Linked DNA regions of Oryctolagus cuniculus. The protein of the gene in region 1 interacts with the protein of each later gene in a biochemical or structural test. Links are inferred from orthologs where the notes say so. Each region holds a gene or a part of one and is shown in the gene's direction. Other genes may lie near its edges.

Region 1 (15,411 bases):
CGGTGCGCCGGCGCTCGGCGCGGCTCCGCCCTCCGCGCTGGTCACGTGGTGGCGCCGGCTGCGCCTGCGGAGAAGCGGTGGCCGCCGAGCGGGATCTGTGCGGGGAGCCGGAAATGGTTGTGGACTACGTCTGTGCGGCTGCGTGGGGCTCGGCCGCGCGGACTGAAGGAGACTGAAGGTAAAGCCGCCATGTCCGGGCCCGACCCGGCCCCCCCACCCCCTCCCCCCGCATCCGCCGCCATCCGGGCCGGGACCGGCCACCCTGCACCGCCGCCCCGGCGCCCCGGCCCCGCGGCCCGAGCTCGGGCCCCTACCCGCCAGGGCTCGATCCCCGGCCCACGTGTGTCCGGCCTGGCCGGGCCTGGCTGCTGGGTGGGGGTGGGGGAGCGCGGGGCCGAACTATGTGGGCCCCGCGGGCTGGGAGGGCGCCGGGTTCGCCGGTCGCGAAATGCCACTCGGGCCCGACCCGGGGAGGCCCGGCGGCCCGCGGGAGCAGCACCGCGGCCCCAGGCCCGCCGCCCCCCCTTCGCGGCCAGGCCGCCGGGAAGTGACACGTTGTTCTTTGGCACTGGCCGGCGCTGCGCAGGGAGGGCGCAGGGGAGGGAGGCGGCGGCGGCGGGCAGGGAGGAGCCCCCGGCCCCGCCCGCCCTCCAGGCCGACCCTCACTTGCTTGAAACCGGCTCGCCGCCGGCCGCCAGCCGCCGCCCGCCTGGCTTTTTAAAGCCCGCCTCCCGCCCTTCCTGGCCTACACTCCTGGGGCGGCGGCAGGCCTCGCCTCTGGCCCTGCGCGGGTTGCCCCCGCGGCAAGCGTATCTTCTGCGCCCCTGGGCCAGGCCCCGAACCCGGTGTCCCCGGGTGGGGGGTGGGGACACCACGGCCGAAGCAGCTAGCTCCGTGTGTGATCCGGGAGCCTGGTGCCAGCTTGACCTGGAATTTCCGGTCTGGTTGGTCTCGGGTCCCGCGGAGCCAGGTTGATACCCCTCACCTCCCAACCCCAGGCCCTCGGATGCCCAGAACCTGTAGGCCGCACCGTGGACTTATTCTTAACCGAAGGGGTGAGTGAGGGGGCTCTTTTCAGCAGATCAGGGTGGGTGGATGGAGGTAGTGTGGATCTGACACCGTGTTGGTGGGGTGGGGACACAGCCTGAGTTTTTTCTGCTCCTTCCTCCCCTGGCACCTCCGGCGCTTCGTGTTGGACCCAGCTTCAACCCTTCCCCCACTCTGTTTGCCTTAAGCTTGGGTCCGTTCCCCTTTCCAAGCTTCACTCTTTCCCAACAGGTGCTGGGGGGACCCTGATGTGGCACCAAATGAAATGAACAAAGCTCCACAGCCCACAGGCCCCCCGCCCGCCCCATCCCCTGGACTCCCACAGGTAATTAGGGAGGAATTAGCTAGGGTGGGGGTGGGGGAGACCAGGCCGCCTCAGGAACAGGTTCTAGCCTCTGGATTTTCCCACCCCCATCTGTGTCAGGGCAAAGTGCAGCTGCCTGCTGCCAAATTGAGACAGGTCCCCTGGATGTCCCCAGGGGCTGTCATGGGGAGGGGGTGTGTGGACTGCCGAGGCTCTTGCTGCAGACCTGCCCCCCTCCCCCCCTGTTTCACCAGCGTGGGTTTCAGCCCCACCCGGGCTTCCCCTCTTGCTGAACTCTGGTCTCCCCCCTTCAGCCAGCGTTTCCCCCGGGGCAGACAGCACCGGTGGTGTTCAGTACGCCACAAGCAACACAAATGAACACGCCTTCTCAGCCCCGCCAGGTGAGGGGCTGTGGGGAGGGGAGTAGGGGGCCTGGGTGGGAGCTGTGGACGGCTTAGGGCAGTGTGGACCTGGGGTGGAAACTGGAGGCTGTGTGCTGGCCTCAGTTTCCTGGCAGTCGGTCTGTGTCCTCTCCTGTGGCTCTGCACTGTGTGCTGTTGGTTACTTATGGTGGCTGGCCCCTGGGGAAGTATGTCGTCGGCGAGGGGGGCTTAACTGGGGTCCGGATGCCTCTGAAAACTGGGGGCAGTGCTTTAGCCCCTGCTGCCCACTTTGCCTCTCCTGGTTCTTTCGCTGAGAGGTTGCCATTGCTCCAGTCCCCTTTCTTGCCTTCTTTTTGGACTATGGCAAGATAAACACTCTGGCTGGTTTCTTGCCTTCTTCTGTTACCTGAGTTCTTCCTTACTAAGTGGGAGGATTCTTGTCCCACTACTTAGATTTTTTTTTAACCCCTCATCTCCTTGGGGATAATTCTCTTCTTTCCTGTCCCCATGTGCTCTCAGGGAGGATTCAGGTCTCTGCAGGTAATACCCCTTTCCTAATCCTGGACCGTGTCCTGGTCTCACTTTCCCCTCTGCCTTAGGGTCTACAAACAGGGAGTGGGGGGTCTTCAGGGTGGGGACTTTGTGCTGGTTGGGTCCTTAGTTTGAGGCTGAGTAGTGCATGTTAGGGGCTAAATCCTGAAGAGTGTATCTGGGAACTGGGAGACTTGCATGTTAGTAATGAGTTTCTCAGGACCTTAAGTGGAGCAGTGCATGCTGGGGAGGGAGGATGTCCCTGAAAGGGCCTTAGGCATGATGCATCTGGGTGTTAGGGAGCCCCTCCAGAGGGCCAGTGTGGTGGAGGTGACATATGTATGCATGGCAGTGAGAATCAATACACACAAACGCCAAATGTTCGTCTGAGTTTGGAGGCTGTGTGTGAGTATAAGAGGCCACTTAACCATCAGTTGGTCAAGTGTGTCTTGGAAGGATTGGTCTTTATGCTCTGAACCCCACAGTACTTTCCAGACCATAGAGGCATTGTGGAGGTACTAGTTTGCTGCCCGCTTTCTCTCTCTCAGTGCCAACCTCTTTCCTCCCTCCTGACAGCACTTCTACCCTAGCCGGGCCCAGCCCCCGAGCAGTGCAGCCTCCCGAGTGCAGAGTGCAGCCCCTGCCCGCCCTGGCCCAGCTGCCCATGTCTACCCTGCTGGATCCCAAGTAATGATGATCCCTTCCCAGATCTCATACCCAGCCTCCCAGGGGGCCTACTACATCCCTGGACAGGTGAGGCTGGAGGCTTGGGAGCCATGCACCTTGTGCTGTAACCCTCGCCCCTTCCTGCCCCAACCCTCTTGCCCTGTCTCTTCGTCAGAGATGGGACTTCTGGTCATTGCCCAGAGTTGGCTTGTCCTATCTTGCCCTGCATTCTGTTTGTAGTCTGGTATGGTACTCGTAGCTTCCTCAACTCCTTCTCTTCCCTCTTCTCCCCCCCTCCCCCACCAGGGGCGTTCCACATATGTTGTCCCGACACAGCAGTACCCTGTGCAGCCAGGAGCCCCAGGCTTCTATACGGGTGCAAGCCCTACAGAGTTTGGGACCTATGGTAAGCAAGAGAGGGAGTCAGAGGTGAGAGTGCTTCCCAGGGAACTTCAAAAGTGATCTACTGATTTCTAAAGCCTAAGACCCTTCTCAGGCATGGCTTTGGGGTTAAAAATAATAGGGTTAATAGTTAGTAGGGATTGGTGCTTAATGTTTAACTGGTGTTGGTGGGGGATAAAGACTTGATTTCTGTTGCCAAGGGAGTTGGAGTCCTGCCTGTGTCAGGAACGCAAGCCCAGGCTCCAGCTTGAGGGCCTGGTGGGCTTTCCCGCGACGCTGTTTCTATGGTGGTGGGGAGGTGGGGGGCATGTGACATGGATTTGTGGCTAGTTTTCGTTTGTATTCTAGGAAAGTACTAGTCTGTTCTTTATGGCAGTGGTTTCCAAAACTTTGATCATTGACTGTGTACTTTTAAAATGTATATATGTGTGTGTTTGTATATATGTGTGCATAAGTTAAACATATAACATGACACTTGGGAAATCAAGTGTAAATCATGTATGAGGTTAAAGAATGCTCCCACTTTGGAGACCATTGCTTTAAGGAATTACTTTTTCTTTCTCTTGGGCTTAGTTCATAATGTTACTTTTTGTTTCCTTGCCCCTCTGCAAAGGGCTGGATACTGGAAGGAGACTAAGGTTGAGTGGAACAGGCTTAGCACATCTTTTTCTCATTCCTAGCCAGAGACTGAGTTTCTTTCAGATTCAGAGTGGTATGTGTGTTGCTTTGGGGGGGGGGGGGTGTATGCACAGGAGTATCTTGGAGAGTAGAACAGACCTGCGCCCTCCTGCTAGCAAGCATGTGGTGGGGAAGGAGTGCCTTCTTACAAGGCGTGTGTGTGTCAGTGTCAGGAATTCTTGTAAACGCAGTGTAGACTGGTTCCCCAGCTTTGACAGACACCTAATTCCCTGGGGGAGGAGGGCGGGGCAGGGCAGTGGGCTGGCTGTGAGTGATGAGAGGTTCTGGGGGTGGGAGGTGTTCAAGCATTAGTATATGGTTGGGTCCTGACGCTGCCACCATTCTTCTTTCTGTCCCCTCCCCCAAGCTGGTGCCTACTACCCAGCCCAAGGTGTGCAGCAGTTTCCCGCTGGTGTGGCCCCTGCGCCGGTTTTGATGAACCAGCCACCCCAGATTGCTCCCAAGAGGGAGCGAAAAACGGTGAGTGGCAGGGGAGGGCTCTGGGGAGGGTCTGGGAAGGGGCGAGTGAAGCTCAGGCACTACTGGGGCATTGTGCTTGAGGGAGCAGGAGGTTGAGGAAGGAGGTCTTTGGCCGGGAATAGGCAGACTTGGGTAGGGTGGGGAGTGGTTTCTGTGGAACACTTGGGGCCTCTTTTTTGCAACGCACCAGCTTTTGGCTTAGAAGCATCTCCTAGGGAGACCGACATGGCCGAGGGTGCAGTTCCTGGTGGTCCTGGGGTGCTGGATATTCTGGTGGCTTGCCTTGGAAGTGGTTTGTTTTCTGTGGCCCCACCCCCCACTCCCAGTCCTGGAAGCTCTTGAGGCCTCCGCCTCTGCTCAGTCCTCAGCCCTGGGCGTGGTGCCCAGAATAGGGTGCCAGGGCTGGGGAAGCCGCTGAGTCACCCTGGCTCCACCCACTGGATCTGGGCCTGCCCCCAGAGATCAGGCAGACTAGCTACAAGTGAGCTTGGATGGGTGCTTGATGGGGGTCCTGGGGCCCAGGGTGTGCAGGCACTAACTTGGGGATTGCCGGTGGGGCAGGGGTGAGAGAGGGAGGGGCATTGTGATGTACAGGCTGCTCTGTGAGGTCAAAGGTCTCTTGGGGGTGGGGGCTAGGGCAGGGACTACAAGAGCAGCTAGATGGGTTGACAGTAGAACTCATGGGGTTTCTGGCACCCACCCACCTGCTTCCAGTGGGGGGTGGAGGGTTGACCCAGAGTCTTAGGAGTGGGGCAGGGTGGAGAGGGGGCTCCTCCTGCTTCCCACTCATCCCATAGCTTTCTTTCCTCAGATCCGAATTCGAGATCCAAACCAAGGAGGGAAGGATATCACGGAGGAGATTATGTCAGGGGCCCGCACTGCCTCCACACCCACCCCTCCCCAGGTATTGTCTGCTCTTTGAGTAATACCTTGGCTGGAATGGCTGTGCTTCCCTGCACTCCTAAGTCCCTTCATCTTTTCCTCAACTAAGGGGTTGATTGCCTGCTCTCCTGGCCTTCTTGGCAGAGCTAGAGTAGAAATTGTTCTAGTAGAGAAGGGTTGTGGAAGTCTTCAGTGCAAATTTGGTAACCCTTTGTGTCCTGCAGACTGGAGGTGGTGTGGAGCCTCAGGCTAACGGGGAGACGCCCCAGGTTGCTGTCATCGTCCGGCCAGGTAAGTAGGCAGGGTGAGGCGGAGCTTTCCTGGGGAAATGGAATGTGACAGTTTAGAGTGCCGAGGTGGTGGGGGTGACTCGAGCTGGGTGCTAGATGGTGACTTAGGTTTCCAGGCAGTGGGATTGTCAGGGTCAGTTGTGTTTTAGATGAGAATGGGAAAGTAGCGTGGGTGGGGGAAGATTGGGATAAGGGTGTTAAGTGAGGAATACTTTGGCTGAGAGGAGGAATAGTAGTAGCACTGAAGGATTTACCTTTGGTTACTAATTTTTCCTTCCTGTGGTGTAGATGACCGGTCACAAGGAGCAATCATCGGGGGCCGGCCAGGGCTGCCTGGCCCAGAGCACAGCCCTTCAGAATCCCAGCCTTCATCACCTTCTCCGACTCCATCACCACCCCCGATCTTGGAACCGGGGTCTGAGCCTAATCTTGCGGTCCTCTCTCTTCCTGGGGACACTATGACATCGGGGATGATACAGATGCCCGTGGAAGAACCAGCCCCCATCTCCCGTGAAGCTGGAGAGCCATATTGCCTCTCTCCAGAGCCCACTCCTCTTGCTGAACCCATACTGGAAGTTGAAGTGACACTCAGCAAACCAGTTCCAGTGTCTGAGTTCTCTTCCAGTCCTATCCAGGTTCTCACCCCACTGGCATCTCACAAGATGGAAATTCATGAGCCTAATGGCGTGGTCCCATCTGAGGATCTGGAACCAGAGGTGGAGTCAAGCCCAGAGCTTGCTCCTCCCCCTCCTCCAGCTTGCCCCTCTGAATCCCCTGTGCCTATTGCTCCAACCACCCAACCCGAAGAACTGCTCAATGGAGCCCCCTCGCCACCAGCTGTGGACTTAAGCCCAGTCTGTGAGCCCGAGGACCAGGCCAAGGAGGATACAGCGTCTGCGACTCCCCCTGCCGTTCCCTCTGCCACTCCAGCTACAGCTCCCCCAGCTACTTCCCCTGCTCAGGAGGAAGAAGGGGAGGAAGAGGAAGAAGAGGAAGAGGGAGAAGCAGGAGAAGCTGAGAGTGAGAAGGGAGGAGAGGACCTACATCCCACAGAGAGCACCCCTGTCCCTGCCCACTTACCCCAGAATGTGGAGGCAGTAGCAGCCACCCAAGGTAAAGTGGATGGTGGAGGCGGGGCTGGCCTGGGGGCGTGGTTGCTCCTCTTGGCTGATCATCTGCCTTGTGTGCCATTGTGTCTGGTCATAGACGCCTATGATGGAACCTAAGAGCTCCAGGAAGGACTTTGTAAAGCCTGGACATAGTGATGGAAGGAGGAAATCATGTACTGGGCTGCTTTTTATTTTACCCTGGGGTTAACAGTATTCCTTAAAAATCATTCCCACCCCTCCTTTTCTTTTTTTCAATTAGTGGCAGTATCTGTGCCAAAGAGGAGACGGAAAATTAAGGAGCTCAACAAAAAGGAGGCTGTGGGAGACCTTCTAGATGCTTTCAAAGAGGTAAGGAAGCAGAAGGTCGGAGAGCGAGCACAGTCTGGGTATGAAACTGGTCATTCTGTGATCCAAACTGGGCTGTGCCCTTGTTCCAGGTGAACCCGGCAGTGCCAGAGGTGGAGAATCAGCCTCCTGCAGGCAACAATCCAACACCAGAGTCAGAGGGCAGCAGTGGGCCCTCCCGGCCTGAGGAAGCAGATGAGACCTGGGACGCAAAGGAAGACAAAATTCACAATGCTGAGAACATCCAGCCTGGGGAACAGAAGTATGAGTACAAGTCAGGTAGGCTGGAGGGGGAGGGTTGAAAAGGGCTGCAGGTGCTTACCAGCGCATCAGGAGACAAGCATATCAGTGGTTCATCCTCTCTTCTTGCAGATCAGTGGAGGCCTCTAAACCTTGAGGAGAAAAAGCGTTACGACCGTGAGTTCCTGCTTGGCTTTCAGTTCATCTTTGCCAGTATGCAGAAGCCGGAGGGGTTGCCCCATATCAGTGATGTGGTGTTGGACAAGGTTGGTGCGTTGAGGGGGAGGAGGGCAAGTGTGGGTTGGATGGAGTGGGGAGGCGCCTGAGATCCTCAGAAGTAATCAGAAGCCTTAGCCAGCTCGTGAGGCCTTCCGTCTTCTCTTCACAGGCCAATAAGACGCCACTACGGCCGCTGGATCCCTCCAGACTATCAGGCATAAATTGCGGCCCAGACTTCACCCCATCTTTTGCCAACCTTGGCCGACCAGCCCTGAGCAGCCGCGGGCCCCCAAGGGGTGGGCCAGGTGGGGAGCTGCCCCGAGGGCCGGTGAGTGGGGGCTGGCTGAAGACACAGGTGGGCAAGGGGGCAGGATGGGGACACGTCAGCGTTGGTGTCACATGTGCTGAGCAGTTGTGTGTTTTTCCCTTGTCTTCCTCCCTTGCTTAGCAGGCTGGCCTGGGTCCCCGGCGCTCTCAGCCAGGCCCCCGAAAGGAGCCCCGCAAGATCATTGCCTCAGTGATAATGACTGAAGATATAAAACTGAACAAAGCAGAGAAGGCCTGGAAACCCAGCAGCAAGCGGACGGCGGCTGATAAGGATCGAGGGGAAGAGGATGCTGATGGCAGCAAAACCCAGGTACTGGCAAGTCCTGCGTCTGGTCTCCATTCCTGCTCCACAGAGTACCGTCTGAGCTGACTTTGACCTCTGTGGCTGTCTGAACTTATCACTAGCATCTGCCAAAGTCCCTGCCCGCCTCTTCCTCTCAGCTACCCTACCCCTATTCTGAGGACCTCTCTGGACCCTTTGTGTTTGTCCCCTCTCCCCGCCAGGACCTGTTCCGCAGGGTGCGCTCCATCTTGAATAAGCTGACACCCCAGATGTTCCAGCAGCTGATGAAGCAGGTGACGCAGCTGGCCATCGACACCGAGGAGCGCCTCAAAGGGGTCATTGACCTCATCTTTGAGAAGGCCATTTCAGAACCCAACTTCTCAGTGGCCTATGCCAACATGTGCCGCTGCCTCATGGCGGTTAGTTACCAGTTTTCTCAGTTTCATGGTCCAGCTTCCCAGCTTTTTGGTTCTCCAGCCTGTGCTTTGGATGGCAGCTTGGGGGTGGGGGCGGCAAAGCTGAGGTCAGAGGTCTTCTTGGGGGAATCTCCTTGCCCTGGGCTAGTCTGAGTGTGACGTTCTCTTTGACATACAGCTGAAAGTGCCCACTACAGAAAAGCCAACAGTGACTGTGAACTTCCGGAAACTGTTGTTGAATCGGTGTCAGAAGGAATTTGAGAAGGACAAGGATGATGATGAGGTTTTTGAAAAAAAGCAAAAGGAGATGGATGAAGCTGCTACGGTAAGAAAAAGCCCACCTGAAGTTTGTAGCCCACTCACTGCCTTCCCTTCCCCCAGCTGCTCCTCGGCTGTAGAACTGTGATGAGGCTAAGTCAGGTGGGGACAGTGGTGTGTTGGGAGTTTCTCTGCCTCAGGACATCATGCTTACTGCTAGATGGATATTGAGATAGCAGAGGAGAAAAGTTTTAGTTGAGTAACTGGGCATCTTTGACGCGATCCCTGTCCCATGACTGACAGGCAGAGGAGCGGGGACGCCTGAAGGAAGAGCTGGAAGAGGCTCGGGACATAGCCCGGCGGCGCTCCTTAGGAAATATCAAGTTTATTGGCGAGTTGTTCAAGCTGAAGATGTTAACAGAGGCAATAATGCACGACTGTGTGGTCAAACTACTTAAGAACCATGATGAAGAGTCTCTGGAATGCCTATGCCGTCTGCTCACTACCATTGGCAAAGACCTGGATTTTGAAAAAGCCAAGGTAAGGATTCTGGGCTGTGGGCAGGGTGGGGCTGAAGCCCACTGTTGCCTTGTTTGGCTGGTGAGTCTGGGCTGCTGAGGGCTGGTAACTAGATGTGAGATGCTGAAAGTTCCTGAGCTGATTGCTTTTGCTTCTTCCTAGCCCCGAATGGATCAGTATTTCAACCAGATGGAAAAAATCATTAAAGAAAAGAAGACTTCATCCCGAATCCGCTTTATGCTGCAGGACGTACTAGATCTCCGACAGGTGTGTGTCCCCTCCTCCACTTCCCGACGCTGCCTTGTCTGGCCCCTTCACCTCCCTCCCCCCGATGATTGCGACTGGCTTCCTGTCCCTGCAGAGCAATTGGGTGCCACGGCGAGGGGATCAGGGTCCCAAGACCATTGACCAGATCCACAAGGAGGCTGAAATGGAGGAGCATAGGGAACACATCAAAGTGCAGCAGCTCATGGCCAAGGGCAGTGACAAGCGTCGGGGTGGCCCTCCCGGCCCACCCATCAGTGAGTTTGAGGCTGGGGTTGAGGAGGGGGCAGTGAAGGAACCAAATCGTGCTTTCCGTTGATGACTTTCTGATAGTGCCACGTGTCTGGGCCACTGAGTCCTCATGATGGAACTGAGGATCTGAGGAAGAGAAGTTGGGGATTCCTGAGGGGGTGGGGCTGTTGGAATTTACTTGTGATTCCAGTATGCCCCTCTTTGTCCCAGGCCGTGGCCTTCCACTTGTGGACGATGGTGGCTGGAATACAGTCCCCATCAGCAAAGGCAGCCGTCCCATTGACACCTCACGACTCACCAAGATCACGAAGGTAGGGATGTGTGCTGGATGGGTGATGCAAGTGAGCCAGAGTATGAAGAGGGATTGAGCAGGTGTTCAGCTTGGGTTTGGATCTTGGTCCCCTTTTTTTTTTTTTTTTTTTTTTGACAGGCAGAGTGGACAGTGAGAGAGAGACAGAGAGAGAAAGGTCTTCCTTTTGCCGTTGGTTCACCCTCCAATGGCCGCCGCTGCAGCCGGCGCACCGTGCTGATCGATGGCAGGAGCCAGGATCCAGGTGCTTTTCCTGGTCTCCCATGGGGTGCAGGGCCCAAGCACCTGGGCCATCCTCCACTGCACTCCCTGGCCATAGCAGAGAGCTGGCCTGGAAGAGGGGCAACCGGGACAGAATCCGGTGCCCCGACCGGGACTAGAACCCGGTGTGCCGGCGCCGCAAGGTGGAGGATTAGCCTATTGAGCCACGGCGCCGGCTCTTGGTCCCCTTTTTTAAAGTTAGGAAGGTGACAATGTAGTCTTCCTTTTAAAATAACTGGTTAGAATGCTGGAGCCAGGACTGTGAGCTCTGGGAGATGTATTCCCATTGGTCTGGCCAGGCGCCAGCAAAGTGACAAGCATGCCAGATCTAGCTTATTGCCTGCTTCTGTGCATCCCGTGAGCTGAGAATGGTTTTTATGTTTTAAATGGTGGAGGAAAATCAGAAGATGGCGTGATAATGTGAAAGTAACGTAAATCTTAAAATTTTACTGTCTGTAGACAGTGTATTGGAATGTAGTTGCATTCATTCCTTTAAGTGTCATCTGTAGCTACAAGCATGCTACAGTGGCAGAATTGGGTGGTTGCAGTAGAGACTTGGAAGCCTAAATCTTTACTGGCTGGCCTTTTCACAGAAAAGGTTTGCCTAATCACTGGTCTGGGCCATTTACTACCTGTGTGACCGTGTGTGGTAGTGCTGATCAGAGGCTTTGGCCAGGCCAGACCCATGGCTCTCTGCTCCCTTTCTTTCCTCAGCCTGGCTCTATCGATTCTAACAACCAGCTCTTTGCACCTGGAGGGCGCCTGAGCTGGGGCAAAGGCAGCAGCGGAGGCTCAGGAGCCAAGCCCTCAGACGCAGGTATGGAGGCCGCCGTGTGGAACTGGGTGGTTGCAGTCTGTGCTCCCTTGAAGGCAGAGCCTTGCCTAGAGTTTCAGGATCATCCAGAAGATGATGTATGTGGTTCCAAAGATGGCTCCTTTATCCTGGCCCTGGGACCACGTGTCCTAAATGACAAGTAGGGGAGATAAAGGAAGAAACGGGAAGAGAGCTTAATTAGGGTTTTCGGTCTCCCTAGCATCGGAAGTTTCTCGTCCAGCTACCAGTACCTTGAATCGCTTTTCAGCCCTTCAACAAGCAGTACCCACAGAAAGCACGGATAACAGACGAGTGGTACAGAGGTGAGATTTCGTACGTGTCATCTTCACACAGAGTGTGGCAGCTGGGTTTCACTTGTTGCTGTAGGATGGGAACTTCTACTTGCAGTACCTGGGTCCCCTGGCTGAGATTGAGGCATATTCCTGATGCCACGAATGCATGTTGTCAGCGAATGCCTGGGCAATACGCGTGAGGAATGGCTTGCCTGTCTTTCTTCCAGGAGTAGCTTGAGTCGGGAACGAGGTGAGAAAGCTGGGGACCGAGGAGACCGCCTAGAGCGGAGTGAACGGGGAGGTGACCGAGGGGACCGGCTGGACCGCGCACGGACACCGGCCACCAAGCGGAGCTTCAGCAAGGAAGTGGAGGAACGGAGTCGAGAACGGCCCTCCCAGCCCGAGGGACTGCGCAAGGCAGCTAGCCTCACAGAGGATCGGGACCGAGGGCGGGATGCGGGTGAGAGGCCGGGAGAGGAGTGGTGGGGGAGGCTGTTGGCTGGTTTGGGACAACCTGGCCTGCAAATCTCTTGAGAGCTCCAGACTGTGTGTTAGAGAGCCTGAAAGTGAAGAGTATCTTTGATCTGTGTTTTCTTGCTACAGCAAAGCGGGAAGCCGCCCTGCCCCCTGTGAGCTCGCCGAAGGCTGCACTCTCTGAAGAGGAGCTGGAGAAGAAATCCAAGGCCATCATTGAGGAATACCTCCATCTCAACGACATGAAGGTAGGCAGTACGGGGTGGGGAGAGGTCTGAGGGGTTGCCGATTGAGCGGGTAGCCACGTTAGGCATGGAGGTGCCGCCTACTGACCAGACCGTGACCTTGTTCTCTCCCATGCCCTGTGCTCCTCAGGAGGCGGTGCAGTGTGTCCAGGAACTGGCCTCACCCTCTCTACTCTTCATCTTTGTGCGACATGGCATTGAGTCCACACTGGAGCGCAGTGCCATTGCTCGTGAGCGTATGGGGCAGCTGCTGCACCAGCTACTCTGTGCTGGCCACCTCTCCACTGCTCAGTACTACCAAGGGTATGGCTGATTTCCATGGCCCTCCTCCATTCACATACCTACAAATTTCCTGTCTCCTATGTGGGATCCGACGAACCCTGTATCGGAGTGGAAGCTCCCCAGCATCTTGGTGAACAGTAATTTAGGAGTGGTAAGGGGCAATGAGCCATCTAAGACAAGAAGGTGGTCTTAGCTTGAGGTAGTTGCCCCTGTCTAAAAAGTGTTCTTGGGGCTCTGCATTTGGTTCTTGCTATATTTTTCCTGGCTTGTCTCCCTGGAATGATGACTTGGAATTACCTTTGCAGGCTGTATGAGATCCTAGAATTGGCTGAGGACATGGAAATTGACATACCCCATGTGTGGCTCTACCTAGCGGAACTAGTAACACCCATTATGCAGGAAGGTGGTGTGCCCATGGGGGAGCTGTTCAGGTAAGCCCCCTCTTGGAATTGGGGGGAGGTAGAAACTGGTAGAAAGGGGTTGGGTGATGGAACAGCTGGGGATGTCTGGATGTGGAAGCTGGCAACGTTGGGCTTTTCTCTTTTCCTAGGGAGATTACAAAGCATTTGAGACCTTTGGGCAAAGCTGCTTCCCTGTTGCTGGAGATCCTGCGACTCCTGTGCAAAAGCATGGTGAGTGAGGCCTTTCGGAGGCTGTGTTCAGAACGCCTCAGATGTGGTTTGGCTGCTTGTGGTGGTCCTGAAGCATCCATGTTCCTTTGGGATGGAGTAATGGTGACAGCAGGACCATGCTCATAGCTGAAAGAGGAAATGTTGGGTGGGCAGTGACCTCAGACACTTGCTGCCATGAGTTCTGGCCAAAGCTGGAGAAAGAGTGGCAGTGTAGAACATAGGCCTGCGACCGACTCATTGATTGTTCTCACGCACTCAGTTAGCATTTCTTTGAATATTTACCATGTACTTAACATTGGGATACAGCAGGGGCTAGGAAACAAGTTGGTAAAGAAAATAAGAAATGGTAGCCTAGGAGTGGGGTAGCCATTTGGCCTAGTGGTTAAAAATGCTTATGTCCCATCCTGAGTGTCTGGACTTGATTCCCAGCTCTCCCGGTTCCAGTTTGTTGCTAATGCAGACCCCAAGTGGTACTGGTGATGGCTCAGTTAATTCGGTTTATGCCATCCACTTGGGAAACATGGGTTGTGGTCCCAGCTCTTGATTGGCCTCTATCTGGCTCCAGCTGTTAGGGGCATTTGGGGAGTGAACCAGTGGATGGGAGCATTCTCTATTTTTCAAGTAAATTTTGTTTTAAAACACCAGTGTGAAGTAAGTTGAAACGGAATGTCTCAAGTACTGTGAGGTTGCTCACCAGCATTTGCAGTGTTCATGCAAGAAGGCTTTCTTTGAAGGGCACTGAAGTTGCTTTATGAAAGTTGATTGGTGAGTGTAAAGGTGGCAAGATGGGGAAAGGCTGTTTGGGTGTGGTTGTGAGAAACTGGAACATGCAGTTTCAAAACAATATACCTCTCTGGTACCTGCAGGAAAGAGACTGGGTTAAAAGGACTTATTCTCTCAGTGTCAGATGGTCCTTTTAGGTAGGTAAACATACGTACCAGGACAGTTTCTGTTCATAAAATAAGCATATTATACTCTTTCTGTACCTACGGTCCTTAATTTATGAGGGTTTCAATTTAGGATTTTTCAGCTTTGTGATAGGTTTTTCAAGGTATCGAGTGCATTTTCAGTTTAGGGTATTTTTGACTTAGAATGTTCTTTTTTTTTTTTTTTTTTTTTTTAGAATGTACTTATTTGAAAGGCAGAGTTACAAGAGGCAGGGAGAGAGAAAGAGGTCTTCCATCCAATGGTTCACTCCCCAGATGGCCACAGTGGCCGGAGCTGGGACGATCTGAAGCCAGGAGCTTCCTCTGGGTCTCCTACGCAGGTGCAGGGTTCCAAGTACTTGGGCCATCTTCTGCTGCTTTCTCAGGCCATAGCAGAGAGCTGGATTGGAAGTGGAGCAGCCGGGACTCAAACCGGCACCCATATGGGAGGCACTGCAGGCAGTGGCTTTACCTGCTACGCCACAGCGCTGACCCCAGGTTGGTTGCTTTGTTTTGAAACGTAGCCCCATTGTAAGTCAAGAAGCATATGTCATTGATCTAAGGTGCTGTGGATTGGAAGATTTCTTACTGATGCATTGCTAAGAAAAAAGACTCATGGTCTTATTTTTAAAATGTAGTAGTGTATCAGCTGTGATGTGTCTTACTTACAGTGTTTAAAATATGAAGAAATCATTTAAAATAGAATCATGAAATTTTGTTTTAAATATTTTACTTAATTATTTTGGAGGTAGAGTTAGAGACAGTGAGAGGGAGAGACAGAGAGAAAGGTTTTCCTTTTGTTGGTTCACTCCCCAAATGGCCAATACGTCCGGAGCTGCGCCAATCCGAAACCAGGAGCCAGGTGCTTCTTCCCGGTCTCCCATGTGGGTGCAGGGGCCCAAGCACTTGGGCTATCTTATACTGCTTTACCAGGCCACAGAAAAGAGCTAGATTGGAAGAGAAGCAGCTGGGACTAGAATGGGCGCCCATATGGGATGCTGCCGCAACAGGCGGAGGATTAACCTACTGTGCCACAGCGTCGGCCCCATGAAATTAACAGCTAATATCATCACTCTGCGTATTTTTTGTTATAAAAGTGATACCGGCCGGCGCTGCGGCTCACTAGGCTAATCCTCCGCCTAGCGGCGCCGGCGCACCGGGTTCTAGTCCCGGTCGGGGCGCCGGATTCTGTCCCAGTTGCCCCTCTTCCAGGCCAGCCCTCTGCTGTGGCCAGGGAGTGCAGTGGAGGATGGCCCAGGTGCTTGGGCCCTGCACCCCA
Region 2 (15,243 bases), on another chromosome or scaffold:
AAAGGCGGGCCCCCTAGCCAATGAGGCCGCGGGGCGGGCCCTCGCCTTGATAGGCGTTCAAGCTATCCAATGGCGGCTGCGAGCCAGAGCGCCTACGAGCTAACGTCACGCCGAGTTGCCGAGCGCCGCCAGGCGGGGCTGAGGCGGCCAAGCCAATGCGATGGCTGGGGCGGGGTCGGGCGCTCTATAAGTTGTCGATAGGCGGGCCCTCCGCCCTAGTTTCTAAGGATCATGTCTGCGAGTCAGGATTCCCGGTAAGAAAGGCATTTGCAAGAGGTTGTGGCTACTCACCCTGCCGCTCCCTTCCGAGGGCCCCGTCGGGGAGGGGCTGAGAGCGCCACCAGGGTTGCGGGGGAAACCGAGCCGGGAGGAAACGTCCGGCGGTGGGGGGAGGCGGGCCGGGGGCAGATGAGCGGCCGAGCTGCCGCCAGAGCCGAGGCAGAGGGCGAGAACAGCCCGCGTAGGGCCCGGAGTGCGAGCTTCGTTACGAGGCCTCGACCCGAGGCAGTGGCGTACGTGAAGCCCCAGCGCTGAGTGACAAGGCGAGGTCGCGACCCAGCGAGGAAGAAGGGCCGCGGCGGCCGCCACTACGTGGCCATAGCCGGCGGTCCGGTTGCCCCCCTGTGCCGGGGGGAGGGCCCGCGCGTTGGGGTTCGGGAGGATTCTGGCGGTACCACTCGCGAGAGGCGGGGGTGCCTGGGTCCTCAGGTCCAGTCGCTTCGTCGGGTTGAAATACGGGTCGGGGAAGAAGAAGCCGGCCGTTCAGTGTGCTGGTTTTCTTGACGGCCAGGACTGAGCCTAACCCCGAGGAGCGGCCGCGTGAGGCACCAGGAGCCCACCCGGCGCCGGGCGGGCGGGTCCATTTTGCCGCACAAGCCGGGCATTTGGCAAACTGCGGATGGGCAGGTCCACTTTCCTTCGGGGGTGAGCGGCCTGAGGTATGGGAGGGCGACGCCATTTCGCGACGGGGGCGGGCGGGATGTGGATTGTTCCATGGAGGGGGGAGACGCCGCCGGGTGGTCGAGGGAGCAAGCACATGGCGGCCTGAGGTGTTCCCCTCCCCCAGTCCGCTTCGCTTCTAAGTGTTGTGCAATCTCCCCCTGTGCTAGCTCGGCTGGGGCTCATTGTGCGCGAGGCCGCCACCGCCCGCGGCCTCCCACATCCGGGCACCGCGAGGGGGGGCTCGGCTGGAGGGAGAAGGGGAGGGCGCGGGCGGAATGACGTGGGGGGGAAGGGGATGGCCTGCCCTCCGATGTGGGAGGTGAAGGGCGGGACTTCCGGCGCGCTGGTGCCGCGAGGGGCGGTGCACGCGCTTCGGCTTTGAGCCGCGGGGCCTTGGGACACGTGGGCCGGCGGCAAGCACCGCATCCGGCCCCATGAGCCTTTATGCTTCGAGGGAGGTTTCCCCTACCGTGTGGGAGGGGGGGGCCTGCCCTGATCCGCTCACAGGACGGGGCAGAGGCCCTGACTCAGTTTTAAAGTAACTTGAGAGTGTCTTGACCACTGGTGGGAGTTAGATTGGGGCTGAGTGCTGATGGCATCATGCTTGGCCGGCTGCTGATAGAGCCTGACTGTCAGGATGTCTGGCGTGGTTCAGGCAGGCAGGGCACAAAATCCATTCTTTGAATCAACAGATCCAGAGACAATGGCCCCGATGGAATGGAGCCCGAAGGTGTCATCGAGGTGAGACTGGAACCTGCCACCACTGCCCTCCACCTCTGAGAGGCCGCTCTCTCTGTCCCCTGGTTCCTGGAGTAGAAGAGACTTGGGTCTTGGGTCACCAGAATTCAGTGCGAATCCCGAGGACATAGTGTAACCCCGATAGTACAGCTCTGCCCCAAAGGAGTCTTGACCATGGTTTGTAGTGAATCGATTAGTATTCCTGAGGCTAGGTGTGAAACGTGCCATTCATGCCCCTCCAACCTCACAGCTAAAGTGGACTGGCCCCTTAGAGTGACTTCCCAGCCTACCTGGAACCAGCGGCCTCCCTCCAAGGTGTCAGGGTTGTGGGCTCCAAAGCGCTGGCCCAGGCACCAGTTGGTGTTTGCTGAAGCACAGCCTGTACTCACTGATAAAGCTTCTGTTTCCTTGCCTCCTACAGAGTAACTGGAATGAGATCGTTGACAGCTTTGACGACATGAACCTCTCTGAATCCCTCCTTCGTGGCATCTATGCCTATGGTTTTGAGAAGCCCTCTGCCATCCAGCAGCGTGCCATTCTTCCTTGTATCAAGGGTGAGACCTTTTGGCCCCAGAACGGATCTGGCACTGTCCCTGACTGGGGTAGAATGGCTTTGGGTTAGTGGTGCCCATCTATCAGCCAGGGACAAAGCAAACCCTTGTTTATCCCAGCTTGGCTTTTGGTCTGTGCCCATGCCTGGGTCATGCCTGGGACACACGGACTGCTGGCTTGCCTTTAATGAGGTACTGTTGTACACAGTTCTCACAGCCCTGTTTTCTGGCTTAGTGCAATGCTAGAGTTGGTAGCCTGATCGTTCTCTGGATTTGCCCCCGTTATGTCACCATACTGTGGTGGGGAAGGTTTGTAAGGCACTTAAGGCGTCATTCATGATTGGTTGCTTGTTGATCTCAGCTCATTGAGTTAGGCGTAAGTCAGGATTTGACTGTCCCATGAGCCCAAAGTGCAAGTTCTCCGCCAGATCTCATTTCTTGTCTGTCTAGGTTATGATGTGATCGCTCAAGCCCAATCTGGGACTGGGAAGACGGCCACATTCGCCATATCGATTCTCCAGCAGATTGAATTGGATCTGAAGGCCACCCAGGCCTTGGTACTAGCACCCACTCGGGAATTGGCCCAACAGGTGAGAACGTGGCTTCTTTCTCCTGGAGGAATAATGAGCATAGCCTAAAATCCCGGGGGGTTACTTCCAAGGAGGAAGAGGATGCTCGGGGGGTGGGGTGGGGTGGGGTGGGGTGGGGTGGGATGGGGCGGTGATTTTTAGCTGGGTTAATTATATGTCATTTCCTACCCAAACGTAACAGCTGCCACTTCTCCACCCATTTCCTGAGTCAAATGACAACACTGCTGGGCCGGGCCTGACTGGCTAGGCAAGTTGGGTGACTGTTTATGCACACCCCCCACCCCTGGCAATGGGCAAAGAGACACCTCGTTCGTGGTGCTGCTCTTATATCAGTCAGGGGCAGAGCAGATGCGCAGTCCTTTGTTCATCCTAGCTTGATGCCTGTACTGGTGGCCAGAGCTGTTTCATGCCTAGGGCACAAACCCTGATGGTAGAAGTGATTATTCTGATGGGAACCGGGCGCAGATACTGTAACCAAGAAGTGATAGTAAGCCTGTTAAGACTGAACGGGTCGTGTGGCTTGTGTTTGGGGGCAAGGGTGTAGTTGGCCGTGTGTGTGTCATGTGGCTCTTTAAACTGGCTATGAAGCGGGTAAATAAATAGACCACAGTTTTCAGAAGCTGAGGGTTCAGTTACATGTATCATGGTTGTTGGGAAGACCAAATCCGTGGAAAAGTGAGATGGGACCTGCCACGGTTGTAGCTAACAGCTGCACACCCACCTCTCTCTGGTTCAGATACAAAAGGTGGTCATGGCATTAGGAGATTACATGGGTGCGTCCTGTCACGCCTGCATCGGGGGCACCAATGTGCGTGCTGAGGTGCAGAAGCTGCAGATGGAAGCTCCGCACATCATCGTGGGCACCCCTGGCCGCGTGTTCGACATGCTTAACCGGAGATACCTGTGTGAGTAGCTCAATTTTCCACTGCCCTGTATCCCCCTCACCTTAGCCAAGCCCTCCTTGTCGGCCAGCTTCGTTCCCAAGGCCGCTCGTTCTCCCTCCCCTGAAAGCTGCTCTGTGATGAACCCCATGCGTGTCAGCTGAGCCCTGGCTTCCCTGTCCTCTCAGCCCAAGCCCAGGGAGTGTTCTACTTCCTGGGGCTGTTGATTGGCCTCCAGGGCAGCCCTGGGCAAAGGATCAATCTCTGTATTCTGAGAGCAGACTGCCTCTGTCTCCCCTGTTCTTCAAGAAAGTTGGATATATTGCCTGTTTCCCAAGCTACTACATAGTAGTATTTCTTCCATGCCTACAGCTCCCAAGTACATCAAGATGTTTGTACTGGACGAAGCTGATGAAATGTTAAGCCGTGGATTCAAGGACCAGATCTATGACATCTTCCAGAAGCTCAACAGCAACACCCAGGTGAGAAAGGCAGTGCTGGAGGAGCTGCCGGGAGAGCCCTCGCGTCTCGCACCTTCTGTGGGACTGGGGACGGGGCGGGCGTCCTGCAGCATCGCCTACCCTGAGGCTGGTCTGTGTTTCACCAGGTGGTTTTGTTGTCAGCTACAATGCCTTCCGATGTGCTCGAGGTGACCAAGAAGTTCATGAGGGACCCCATCCGGATTCTTGTCAAGAAGGAGGAGCTGACGCTGGAGGGTATCCGCCAGTTCTACATCAACGTGGAACGCGAGGTGGGGCCTGGGTGCAGGAGGCGGGCCCGGGTGGGGACCTGTTGAGTATAGCCCCTGACTGACTATTCGCCCCAACCTCCAGGAGTGGAAGCTGGACACACTATGTGACTTGTACGAAACCCTGACCATAACCCAGGCTGTCATCTTCATCAACACTCGAAGGAAGGTCGATTGGCTCACTGAGAAGATGCACGCCCGGGACTTCACCGTCTCTGCCATGGTGAGCATCCTCGCACGCCAGCCTGTGTGAGCCCAGCTCCCCTGTGCTCGTCTCGATCGCTAACCTTCGGTTTTCTCCCCTAGCACGGAGATATGGACCAAAAGGAGCGAGATGTGATCATGAGGGAGTTCCGCTCTGGCTCTAGCCGAGTACTGATTACCACTGACCTGCTGGTGAGTAGGGGGATTTCCAGCGCTGGAAGGCAGAAGAATCCAAGGTGATTCCCTCTCCCAGGGGCCCGACTAGTGCCTCTCTCAGGAAAGTAGCAACTTGGAAGAAAATCCGGCATGCCCAAGGGCTCTCAGAGACAAGGGGCCGCTTGCTTCCTTTGCCTGCCTTGGGCTGCCTACATGCACTCACTGAGCCCCTTCCGGATGGACTGTGTGCACTGAATTCTTCTCTGTCTCCACATAGGCCAGAGGCATTGATGTACAGCAAGTTTCTTTAGTCATCAACTATGACCTTCCCACCAACAGGGAAAACTATATTCACAGGTGAGTGTGGGTCTGGACCTCCTGCCTAGCCCCCTGCATCCTGGGCGGAAGCTTTGGACATCCCTCAATGCTTGCAATGTATCCTTGTGTTTCAGAATTGGCCGTGGTGGACGCTTTGGCCGTAAGGGTGTGGCTATTAACATGGTGACAGAAGAAGATAAGCGGACTCTCCGAGACATCGAGACCTTCTACAACACCTCCATTGAGGAGATGCCCCTCAATGTTGCTGACCTCATCTGAGAGGGGCTGTCCTGCCACCTAGCCCCAGCTGGGGTTCAGTCCTCAGGGGCTGAGGAGCAGCAGGAGGGGGGAGGGGAGGGAGCCAAGGGATGGACATCTTGTCATTTTTTTCTTTTTTTTTTTCTTTGAATAAATGTCACTTTTTGAGGCAAAAGAAGGAACCGTGACCATTTTAGAAACCCTTTTCTTTGGGGTAGGCTCTTGCCCCAGGCGCCGTCTCCTCCCAAAAAAACAAAAAAAAAAACACTAATCCATTTCCCTAACCTAGTCACCTCCAGGTCCCAGAGGCTCTCCCACCCCAGCTGAATCCCTCCGAACTTGATTCAGGGGCCAAAAACAAGTCACTCAACCTCATGTGCCGGACCAAACATGCAAGGAGCAGCCCCTAGTGAGGTTGCCCAGTGATTGAACCCAGCTGGGGGAGCAGGGGAGAGAAAGTGGTAGCCATTTTTACATTGTTTTGTATAGTATTTATTGATTCAGGAAGCAAACACGAAATTCTGAATAAAATGACTTGGAAACTGCCTGTTGGGCTTCTCATTTCTTCCTTCCCTCCTACCTGCTACTGGGTATGTCAGCTACCTTAACTACCTAGAAGTTACCAGAAGAAGCCATTTTCTAGGTCCAGAAAGTTGTAATAGGATAATAGGAGCTACTGAGGGCTTGGGTGTGTGCTGTCATAAGTGGTCACATGTCTCGCTAGGAGGAAGTCATGAAGCATGGTGTGTGGAAAGGGGCTGGCCAGAGGAGGGGCCTGCTGGCTATAGGGGCTGGTTAGAACCACTGGCCCTAACTGCCTAGTGAGGTTTGCTAAGGGTGACAAACGGGCCCCACCAATCAACTGCCTCACGGCTCCATCATTCTGTAGTCATGGGACAGCCTTGACTTTGGCCTTGACACCTCCCACTCGTGAGCTGGGGCCAATAGTCCCCTAACAAATGACTAGTGACTAAGAGATTGGTGGCTGGAGCCCGTGGTGCTTGAGTCAGCCTGGGGGTGGGATCATCTGTTGCAGGAAGTAAGAGACTTTCATTTCCTTTCCCAAGAGAGGGAAGAGGGAAGAGGGCTGAGCAACTGGTGTCCAGTTGAGAGTCGGCATTAGGTGAGGTGGATCTGCCATGAGGCTGCCTGTGCTTTTCCTGGCCTTGCTGGGGCTACACGCAGGTAAGAAGGGGGTAAGAAGGGGGCACGGAGGGGGAACTTGAGGAAGCCAGCCCTTTCTGGGTCGCTGACCAGCTTCTTTGTTCCCTCTGCTGAAAGCCCAGGGGACATGGCCTTGGCCTCACAAGAAGGCAGCCACTCTGCTGCCATCCTTCACGGTGACACCTACAGCCACAGAAAGCACAGCGAGCTCTGGAACAACCAGCCACAGGACTACCAAGAACCCCCACACCACCAGTCACAGCACTGCCACCCCAGGCACCACCAGCCACAGACCTACAACTGCCACTCCTACCACTGGCCACGGAAATGTCACGGTTCATCCCACGACCAGCAACACCACCACCACCACCGGGACCAGCCCTGGATTCTCCACCAGCACCCCCCACCCAGGACCACCTCCACCCCCTCCAAGTCCTAGCCCAGGCTCCAGAGAAGCGGTTGGGAACTACACGTGGACTAACGGCTCGCAGCCCTGCGTCCAACTCCAAGCCCAGATTCAGATCCGAGTTCTGTACCCAACCCAGGGCGGCGGACAGGTAAAGCTGAAATGGGAGGCGGGCGGACAAGGGGAAGGTAGCCCGTCCTGCCTTGATTCAAGGGGAAGAGGAAGAGGAGAGAGGACAAAAACAGGCTGGGGATGGAGAAAACAGGGAACCTCGAGGAGCAAAGTCATGTAGTCTCATGACCCCCGCGTTATTTAACTTCCACAGGCATGGGGCATGTCTGTGCTGAACCCCAACAGAACCAAGGCCCAGGGGGGCTGTGAGGGTCCCCGTCCCCACCTGCTCCTCTCCTTCCCCTATGGACAGCTCAGCTTTGGATTCAAGCAGGTATGGCTTCACGACCTCGCCTTCCTCCTCCACTTGCCCTCGCTGCACCCCTTCCTTGGTAGGCATGGGAGGCCACACCTTCCTGTTCACCTTGCAGGACCCAGGGCAGGGCCAGAGCGCGGTCTACCTGAGCTACCTGGCTGTGGAGTACAACGTGTCCTTCCCCCAGGCAGCACGTGAGCAGCTCCTCCCCCTTCTCACCCTAGCACTGAGGGGGCAGAGCCGGGGCTGGGGCGGTGGGTAGCCACTGACCCCCGCCCCCCACCCCTCACCCCTTCAGGGTGGACATTCTCGGCCCAGAATGCGTCCCTTCGAGATCTCCAAGCACCGCTGGGGCAGAGCTTCAGCTGCAGAAACGCCAGCATCGCTGTTTCCCCAGCTCTCCACCTCGACCTGCTCTCGCTGAGGGTCCAGGCTGCTCAGCTGCCCCGCACCGGGATCTTCGGGCCGAGTAAGACCTACCTCCTGCTTGTCTCCGAAAATCTCCCGCTGCGCCCAGAGTCCCCTCCCTTCTTAATCCATTTGAAGCCCCGTGCATTTACTGCTCCATGTACGCCTGTACAGGTGTCCTATCTAGGACCAAGCTTCCTCCCTCCACTGCTCATCGAGGCTGTAGGGCAGCTGCCCTCGCGGGCCCACTTGGTGCTTTTCCTTAATGCTCTCCCAGCTCCTAGGAATTGGAGTCCCCTGCCCCCCTCGGGAGCCATGCTGACCGCCCTGTCTTTCTGCCAGGCTTCTCCTGCCCCGCGGACCACCCGTCCATCTTGGTGCCCCTCATCATCGGCCTGATCCTCGTCGGCCTCCTCGCTCTGGTGCTCGTGGCCTTCTGCATCGCCCGGAGACGCCCGTCGGCCTACCAGGCCCTCTGAACACCGGCCCGGCCCCCAGGGCACCAGCCCTGTGCCCCACCAGGCAACTGACTCGAGGGCAGGGAGGAACAAACACGGGGACTGTGCAGTCGGGAGGGAGGAGAGAGTTTTATTACACGCGACACCCCCAGCCCCCAGGAGAAGAGCAGTGAAAACTCGGATCTTCGTCCTGGGTTCCCCCTGTGCTGACAGGATTAAAAGCCATGAGTTTCTTGTCACATGCCTGTCTGTGCCAACCCCGGCTGAGTCACAGAGCCACACAGGGCTAAACGGCATCTGGGACCCAACGCCCTGCGCTCTCTGGCTCGCCCCCTGAAGGCCCGACACAGTCCATGCTGAATCGGCCAGGCCTCCCCTCCTTCCTCTTCTGGGTGCACTGGCTGGTCCAGGCCGCTGTCCCCACCCTCCACCCCCGCAGCCTCTGACCAGCCCCAGGTAGTTCCAGGCACGGCACTGAGGGCGGTGATGGAGTTTCATCTCCAGGCGGAGCACCAGGGGCTGCCCGCTGCGCCCAGGGCTGGCGGGAGAGCCCCATGAATCCGCTGTTAGACCTGGGAGGCTCGCGCTGCACCTGCCGCGGGCTGGCTGCATCCGCCGCAGCTCTGGGCACCTCCACGCACTTCCCCTCCACGTTCCTGGCTAAACGGATGTCCCTAGTCTGGGCCACCAGTACAGGGGGACGGGGAGGCGGGCAACAGTGTCACCTGCAGAGCAGCCGATGTCCGGCTAACAAACACCTGCCACTGGGCTCCCACCTGCGCCTGAGTGCCAGTCGTTCTCTCTTCAGTAGGCCGTGGCACGCCGTGGCCCCGCTGTTGGGGGCCTGGACAGGCGCCCCTGTTTCTGCAGGAACCCCACGAGCTGAAAGGCTGCAGCACGAGGCCGCACCGCGGGCCGGGCCGGGTCGGGGGGCCGTTCCCAGGTGGTGCTGTTGGGCCCACTCGGCACGTGGTGCGGGGCTGGAGCAGTCCCTGCACCCCACCTAGTGTCTCCGGGGCTACCCACCCCGACTTGTTGTCTTGCGTCGTCACCGGGCCACTGCAGTTCTGGCGCGCCCATCCTCCAAGGCCTCGGCCAAACAGGCGGCAGAAGCATGGGGCCTTGAGCGCAGCCAGCCCCGGGCCTAAGGAGACCTCCCAGAGGCCTGGTTCCCTCTAGAGAGGCCAAAAGAACGGAAGACACAGAGCTACAGCGCCCCCGCCCAACGCCATTTTGGAGACTCAAACACCCTCTCTCAACTTGGAACAATACGCGTGTAAAGTTGGCAAAGAGGAGACAAGATGGCGCCTAGCGGGAGGAGCGGAGAAAGGCAGGGGACTAAATGTTGCTTCCGAAGTGCGAGCGCAAACAAAAGCGCGAAAGATCTGACTGCGCAAGCGTGCACTTCTGACACGCTTTAAAAGCCAAACAGCCGGGCGCCTCCAAAGCGCGGTCTCCGGCCGTGACCTATTTCACGCTCCTGAAGCGAGGGTGGCGTAAGAAACGGCGAGGAACGAGGGGCGGTGCAACTTAGTCATCGCGAGAAAAGAAAGGAAGGCGGAGTGCTCGGAGCGCGCATGCGCACCATCAGTCAATGACGGCTTGAGAGAGACTGGCGGAAGCTCGCTTTCCAACATGGCGTCGGAGGCAGAAGGACTGCTCAAACGGCTACTGGTGCCGATTCTTTTACCTGAGAAATGCTACGACCGACTTTTCCTTCAGTGGGACTTGCTTCATGGTGAGTTTTATTCAGCATTCAGTAAAGTCCTGCTCGAGCGACTGTGGACGACGGTGGGGCGACTAGAGACGAGGTGACGGCGGCGGCTGCGGCGGCCAGGCTGCGCGGAGCGGAAGACGCTTCTGAGAGGGCGGAAGTGTCTCGGCCTCCGAAAAAAGGGGTCCCCATATTTGGGCAAGGGGAGGGGGGAGTAGCCCGGCCGACGTGCACTTTAGCAACAGTGAAAGTCCAAAAGGCTCAAATTTACAAAACAATACAAATCGGACCAAAGCATTCTAACGTCTGTAAGGTCGCCAGCAGAGCTAAGCTTAGTTGAAAGCCTTCCCAAAGGCCACTGACGCCCGAATTGCTCATTCGGCCTCCACGTTTGCTCGTGATCTAATTTTGGTAAAATTCCCCTCCCGTCCCGAGTAAGAGGCAGCTCCACAGCAGGGTTCCCTCAGGACTTTCACCCCTTGGCGATGCCGCCGCGGTCTTCCCTCCCCTGTGCGCACGGAACGCTTGGGTGCACCTGTCAGCCTGACGCCCTAGCTCTAGGGGAAGGCCTCAAGGCTGGAGAAGTTGTGGGTTGCCAAGGCCAAGGGGCAGGCACAGGTGCAGCAGGTTTGGGACGCCCGCATCCCATATCCGTGCCTGGGATTAAGTCCCGCCCCCGCTTCCAACCCCGCTTCCTGCTGTTGCGCAGCGTGGGAGGCAGCAGGTGCTGGCTCAAGTCCTTGGCCCCGCCACCCAAGTTGGCGACCCAGATTGAGTTTCAGGCACCTAATTAAAGCCTGGTCCAGCCCTGGTGGTTTGGTGAGTGGGACCAGCAGGTGGGAGGTCTCCTCTCCCTCCCTCCCTCCTTCCTTCACTGCCTTTCAGATAAAATATTTATTTATTTGAAAGAGTTACAGAGAGAGGTCTTTCATCCACTGGTTCACTCCCCAGATGGCCACAACGGCCAGAGCTGCACAGGAGCCAGGAGCTTCTTCCAGGTCTCCCACGCGGGTGCAGGGACCCAAGGATTTGGGCTGTGCTCTGCTGCTTTCCCAGGCCACAGCAGGGGGCTGGATGGGAAGTGGAGCAGCCGGGACTCCAACTGGCACCCATATAGGATGCCGGCACTGTAGGCTCTAACCCGCTGCACCGCCGCACTGGCCCCATAAATAAATTTTTTTTTTTTTTTTTTTTTTTGACAGGCAGAGTGGACAGTGAGAGAGACAGAGAGAAAGGTCTTCCTTTGCTGTTGGTTCACCCTCCAATGGCCGCCACGGCTGGCGCACCGCGCTGATCCGATGGCGGGAGCCAGGTGCTTCCTCCTGGTCTCCCATGGGGTGCAGGGCCCAAGCACTTGGGCCATCCTCCACTGCACTCCCGGGCCACAGCAGAGAGCTGGCCTGGAAGAGGGGCAACCGGGACAGAATCCAGCGCCCCGGCCGGGACTAGAACCCGGTGTGCCAGCGCCGCAAGGCGGAGGATTAGCCTAGTGAGCCAAATAAACATTGAGTTGAGTCTGGGCCAGGGACCTGGGCCAGTCAGAGTTGAGAAAGGAGCAACATGGAGACCTGCCCTTGGAGGGAAGATGTGCACACGGGGCCACCAGCAAGGGTCCCAGGGCACTCGGGCTCACTCAGCTTTGTGAAGGGAGACCAGGGAAAGCTTGGAAGTTAGGCCTAGTTTAGAGGCCACTCACTGACAGACACAAAGATCTCATTCACTCCCCAGGCGCCTGCATCAGCTGGGCCTGGCTGGGGCAACCTGAAGCTGGGAACCAGGGGCTCCGCCAGGTCTCCCACGTGGGTGGTGGGGACCCATCCGCTCAAGCCAGAAGCGGCCTCCCCTGCCACGTGACGCACCCTCCCGCTCACCTCTCTCTCCTCAGTGCCCTGCCTCAAGATTCTCCTCAGCAAGGGGCTGGGGCTGGGCATCGTGGCCGGCTCACTTCTAGGTAGGTGGGGTGTCGTCCCTCCGCTCCTGTCACTGGGCGGGTGGAGGGACTGAGAGGCTGGGCTGGCCAGCCCGGCGGGAAGCGGGCGCTGCACCCCCAGTGCTCCCGGCGCTGCTGTCCTCAGCCCTGCTCGTCTTCCCCCACCCAGTGAAGCTCCCCCAGGTGTTGAAACTCCTGGGGGCCAAGAGTGCCGAAGGCCTGAGCCTCCAGTCCGTGGTGCTGGACCTCGTGGCACTGACGGGCACCGTGGTCTACAGCATCACCAACAGCTTCCCATTCAGGTGAGGGCCCCAAGGGAACATGGCCCCCACTCTGCTGGGGGTCACGGGGAGGGAGGCAAAGGCGCAGGAGAGCTTAACCCTCTTAGAGGTGAGGACGGCTCGGGTGGGCGTGGAGGGCGGCGGCCCTGGAGGCACAGCTCTGGAGGCTTGCCCTGCCTCTTTCCAGGCCTGCCTTTTTTCCTCCCAACTCTTGACTCTGCAGCTCTTGGGGTGAAGCCCTGTTTCTGATGCTCCAGACGCTCACCATCTGCTTCCTGGTCATGCACTACAGAGGACACACTGCGAAAGGTGCTGGGGACTTAGCCAGGAGCGGCTGCAGCTCTTGGGAACCCTGATGGGACTCGGGCCGGGGGGAGTGGGACACATGGAGAGGTTGCGAGGCCTGCTTGTCTCCTTGACCCCTAGGCACGGCTTTCCTTGCCGGCTACGCCCTCATCCTGCTGGTGCTGCTCTCGCCGCTGACGCCCACAGCTGTGGTCACCCTGCTGCAGGCCTCCAACGTGCCCGCTGTGGTGGTGGGGAAGGTAGGTACTGGAACAACGGAGAGGATGGGGGGCAACATCAAGGGACAGAGTGCCCGTGCAGGAGCATCAGACTGAGGGGGGACCAGCGATGGGACACGGGAAAAGTTGAGATGCCAGAACCAAAGGTGACCGCTCCTGCCCTAGCTACTCCAGGCAGCCACCAACTACCGCAATGGGCACACAGGCCAGCTCTCGGCGGTCACCGTCTTCCTGCTCTTCGGGGGCTCCCTGACCCGGATCTTCACTTCCATTCAGGTGAGTGCACCTTTCCCCCTCTAGAGGGCGCTGTCTCCCAGCTGAGGGCTGCACCTGGTGCCCTCTCTGGAACCTTTGTCTCCAGGGGATTGGTTTTGGGGCTGCACTGCAGCCTGACCTTAGGTGCCTTTTACAACCAGGAAACTGGAGACTACCTCATGGCTGGCGTCTTTGTGGTCTCCTCTCTCTGCAATGGCCTCATCGCTGCGCAGGTCCTCTTCTACTGGAATGCACAGGCTCCCCAAGAGCAGAAGAAGGAGCGGTAGGGCCGAAACAGCCGCCGAGTGCTTGCGTGTTTCCATTCATCCACCCGGCCTCTGGGTGCTCCCGCCCAAGCCAGGCTGCTGGTGGGAGTTGCAGTTCTAATCTCTCCATTCCTTGGGCCAGGGTTTCGGTGGACGTGGAAATTGGGGGACCCAGATCCTTAGTAAGGATGGGGTCATCTTCCAAGCTGATCTTTGGACATTAAAATCAGTGACTTCCAGTTCTCCCTCCTCTGGGCCAGTGTCCTGCCCCGCCCTCTGCACTTCCCTGCTGGCTCCAGAGGACGAGCTGAGGGGAGGGACTTGGGGCTGCCTCTGCCCTGGACCCCAGTGCTGCGTGTGGGGGAAGGGGACAGAATGACTCAGGCAGGGTGGGGTGCAGTGGCTCCTGCTCCGGCAGGTCCAGAGGAAGGGAGTGGAGCTGGTGCAGGCTCCTGCTGGAGTGAGGAGGGCGCAGATGGGGCAATAAAGACAGACGTGGCTCGGTTGTACAAAATGAGTTTTATCCTGTGTGTTGTGAGCGGGCCGGCTGCAGGCAGCCTCTGAGCTGTGGTCCAACACTAGAGGGGGTGCAGCTTGTGCGTGGGGGTGGCTCTGAGGGAAAAGGGGAACACGAGGCCCGTGTCCGTGGGAGTTAGAGGTGTGCCAGGGGCATGGGGGCGCCTGCAAGTGGAGAGTTGTATGGATTGGGGGAGCCTGGGGGCAGGTAGGGGCTGTAGGAGGGAAGCAGCTCCGCCTGGAGTCTGGGGTCGCTCTGAGGGACGGAGCATGGCACGGGCGCCTCTGGTTTATAGTGGGAAGAGCTGCAAAGGGAAACGGGGAGGGGGGGTTAGAGGCTGCTTTCTGTGTTGGTGTCACCAGCTGAATGCTGGGATGGGTCAGACCAAATCTGGGCGGACAGGGGTACAACTTGCCCCCCACCCGGCGCGCTTGGAAGCACAGCCAGATGGCTTGGAGAGCAGTGCGGCCCTGTTGGGACACGCTGCAGCCCCGGCTTGCGTGCTGTGTGGCTGTTTCCCTCTTTCAGGGCAGCAGGCCAGGAAGGGGCATAATGTGCTTGGCCTCGCCTTACCCCGGGGGCTGGGAGAGGAAGCTGGGTCACACATGGGCCAGAAGCAGGGCGAAGTGAGGATCCCAGCAACTAGAAGAGTTTCACAGCTAGGGGTCCGTCTCTGCACCTGCGGGGCGGCCACTCTGGGAAAAGCTGAACCACTGTAACCCACCCCACCTTGCAGGGCCCCTGGGCCGGGCTCAGGTTCTCCTTCAGCCAGTTTCCACCCACCCGCTACCCAGGCTCCCGGCCCCACCCAAGCGTCTGCTTCCTCGGCACTCACCTGTAGTTGGCAGGCAGATAGGCTGTCGGGTAGTTGGGGGGCTGGTACCCGAAGCCTCTGCTGCCTTGGGTGGCCGCGTATCCTGGCCCCCAGAGCAGGCCGCCGCTTCCCTGGCTGGCGTTGGCAGGTCCGACGCCCGAGTTCTTGGTCTTGCGCCGAGGCCGGTACTTGTAATCGGGGTAGTCGCGCAGGTGCCGGGCGCGGAGCCGCTTGGCCTCCTCCACGAAGGGCCGCTTCTCTTCCTCGCCCAGCTGCTTCCACTGCGCGCCCAGGCGCTTGGAGATCTCAGAGTTGTGCATCTTTGGGTTCTGCTGCGCCATCTGGCGGCGCTGAGCGGAGCTCCACACCATGAATGCGTTCATGGGCCGCTTCACCTTTTCCTGGGGGAGCCCCCCGGAGACCACCGGGTTGCCAGCTCGCTCTGGCTCCTGGGATCCCCAAGAGGCGTTAGCTGCCGCGGGAGTGGGGGGCTCCAGGCTCCAGGCCTGGGTCTGCGAGGAGCCAGGTAGCGCCATGGGGGGGGAGCCTTAAGTGGGCGTCCCAAAGGCCGTCCCCTGTAAGTGAAGCGGCGATCCTTAAATGTCTCTCTCCAGGCTGAGTCGTCGCAGAGAACAAAACTGAGGTCCTTAACAATGTAGGTCACCCCCAAGTCCACAGTTCAAGTGGGGTCTT

What was found.
Region 2: the proteins of EIF4G1 (region 1) and EIF4A1 form a complex in vitro, tested with the Homo sapiens proteins (3 studies listed by IntAct, with this or other methods). The link is inferred for Oryctolagus cuniculus from reciprocal best matches to the Homo sapiens genes EIF4G1 and EIF4A1.

The regions. Positions count from the first base shown.
Region 1 is NC_091435.1:93,890,365-93,905,775, forward strand, and holds the start of EIF4G1 (eukaryotic translation initiation factor 4 gamma 1), read left to right. Parts: upstream 1-1,312; coding exon 1,313-1,372; intron 1,373-1,605; exon of another isoform or gene 1,606-1,665; coding exon 1,666-1,752; intron 1,753-2,253; coding exon 2,254-2,274; intron 2,275-2,841; coding exon 2,842-3,018; intron 3,019-3,237; coding exon 3,238-3,337; intron 3,338-4,378; coding exon 4,379-4,491; intron 4,492-5,302; coding exon 5,303-5,395; intron 5,396-5,597; coding exon 5,598-5,664; intron 5,665-5,951; coding exon 5,952-6,776; intron 6,777-7,031; coding exon 7,032-7,120; intron 7,121-7,209; coding exon 7,210-7,396; intron 7,397-7,489; coding exon 7,490-7,623; intron 7,624-7,745; coding exon 7,746-7,904; intron 7,905-8,024; coding exon of another isoform or gene 8,025-8,027; coding exon 8,028-8,213; intron 8,214-8,407; coding exon 8,408-8,605; intron 8,606-8,780; coding exon 8,781-8,927; intron 8,928-9,163; coding exon 9,164-9,400; intron 9,401-9,541; coding exon 9,542-9,646; intron 9,647-9,740; coding exon 9,741-9,900; and 19 more.
Region 2 is NC_091448.1:52,140,938-52,156,180, forward strand, and holds EIF4A1 (eukaryotic initiation factor 4A-I), read left to right. Parts: upstream 1-101; 5' UTR 102-231; coding exon 232-254; intron 255-790; exon of another isoform or gene 791-938; intron 939-1,634; coding exon 1,635-1,683; intron 1,684-2,101; coding exon 2,102-2,234; intron 2,235-2,268; exon of another isoform or gene 2,269-2,400; intron 2,401-2,681; coding exon 2,682-2,821; intron 2,822-3,099; exon of another isoform or gene 3,100-3,244; intron 3,245-3,557; coding exon 3,558-3,726; intron 3,727-3,834; exon of another isoform or gene 3,835-3,981; intron 3,982-4,074; coding exon 4,075-4,184; intron 4,185-4,309; coding exon 4,310-4,453; intron 4,454-4,535; coding exon 4,536-4,673; intron 4,674-4,756; coding exon 4,757-4,846; intron 4,847-4,883; exon of another isoform or gene 4,884-5,027; intron 5,028-5,087; coding exon 5,088-5,167; intron 5,168-5,262; coding exon 5,263-5,407; 3' UTR 5,408-5,933; downstream 5,934-15,243. Other genes in the region: CD68 (macrosialin), read left to right, coding at 6,526-6,571, 6,668-7,107, 7,282-7,401, 7,499-7,577, 7,682-7,852, 8,134-8,270; MPDU1 (mannose-P-dolichol utilization defect 1 protein), read left to right, coding at 9,885-9,987, 11,849-11,914, 12,063-12,195, 12,398-12,483, 12,601-12,719, 12,864-12,974, 13,098-13,340; SOX15 (transcription factor SOX-15), read right to left, coding at 13,872-14,040, 14,572-15,086. UniProt on the Homo sapiens protein: ATP-dependent RNA helicase which is a subunit of the eIF4F complex involved in cap recognition and is required for mRNA binding to ribosome.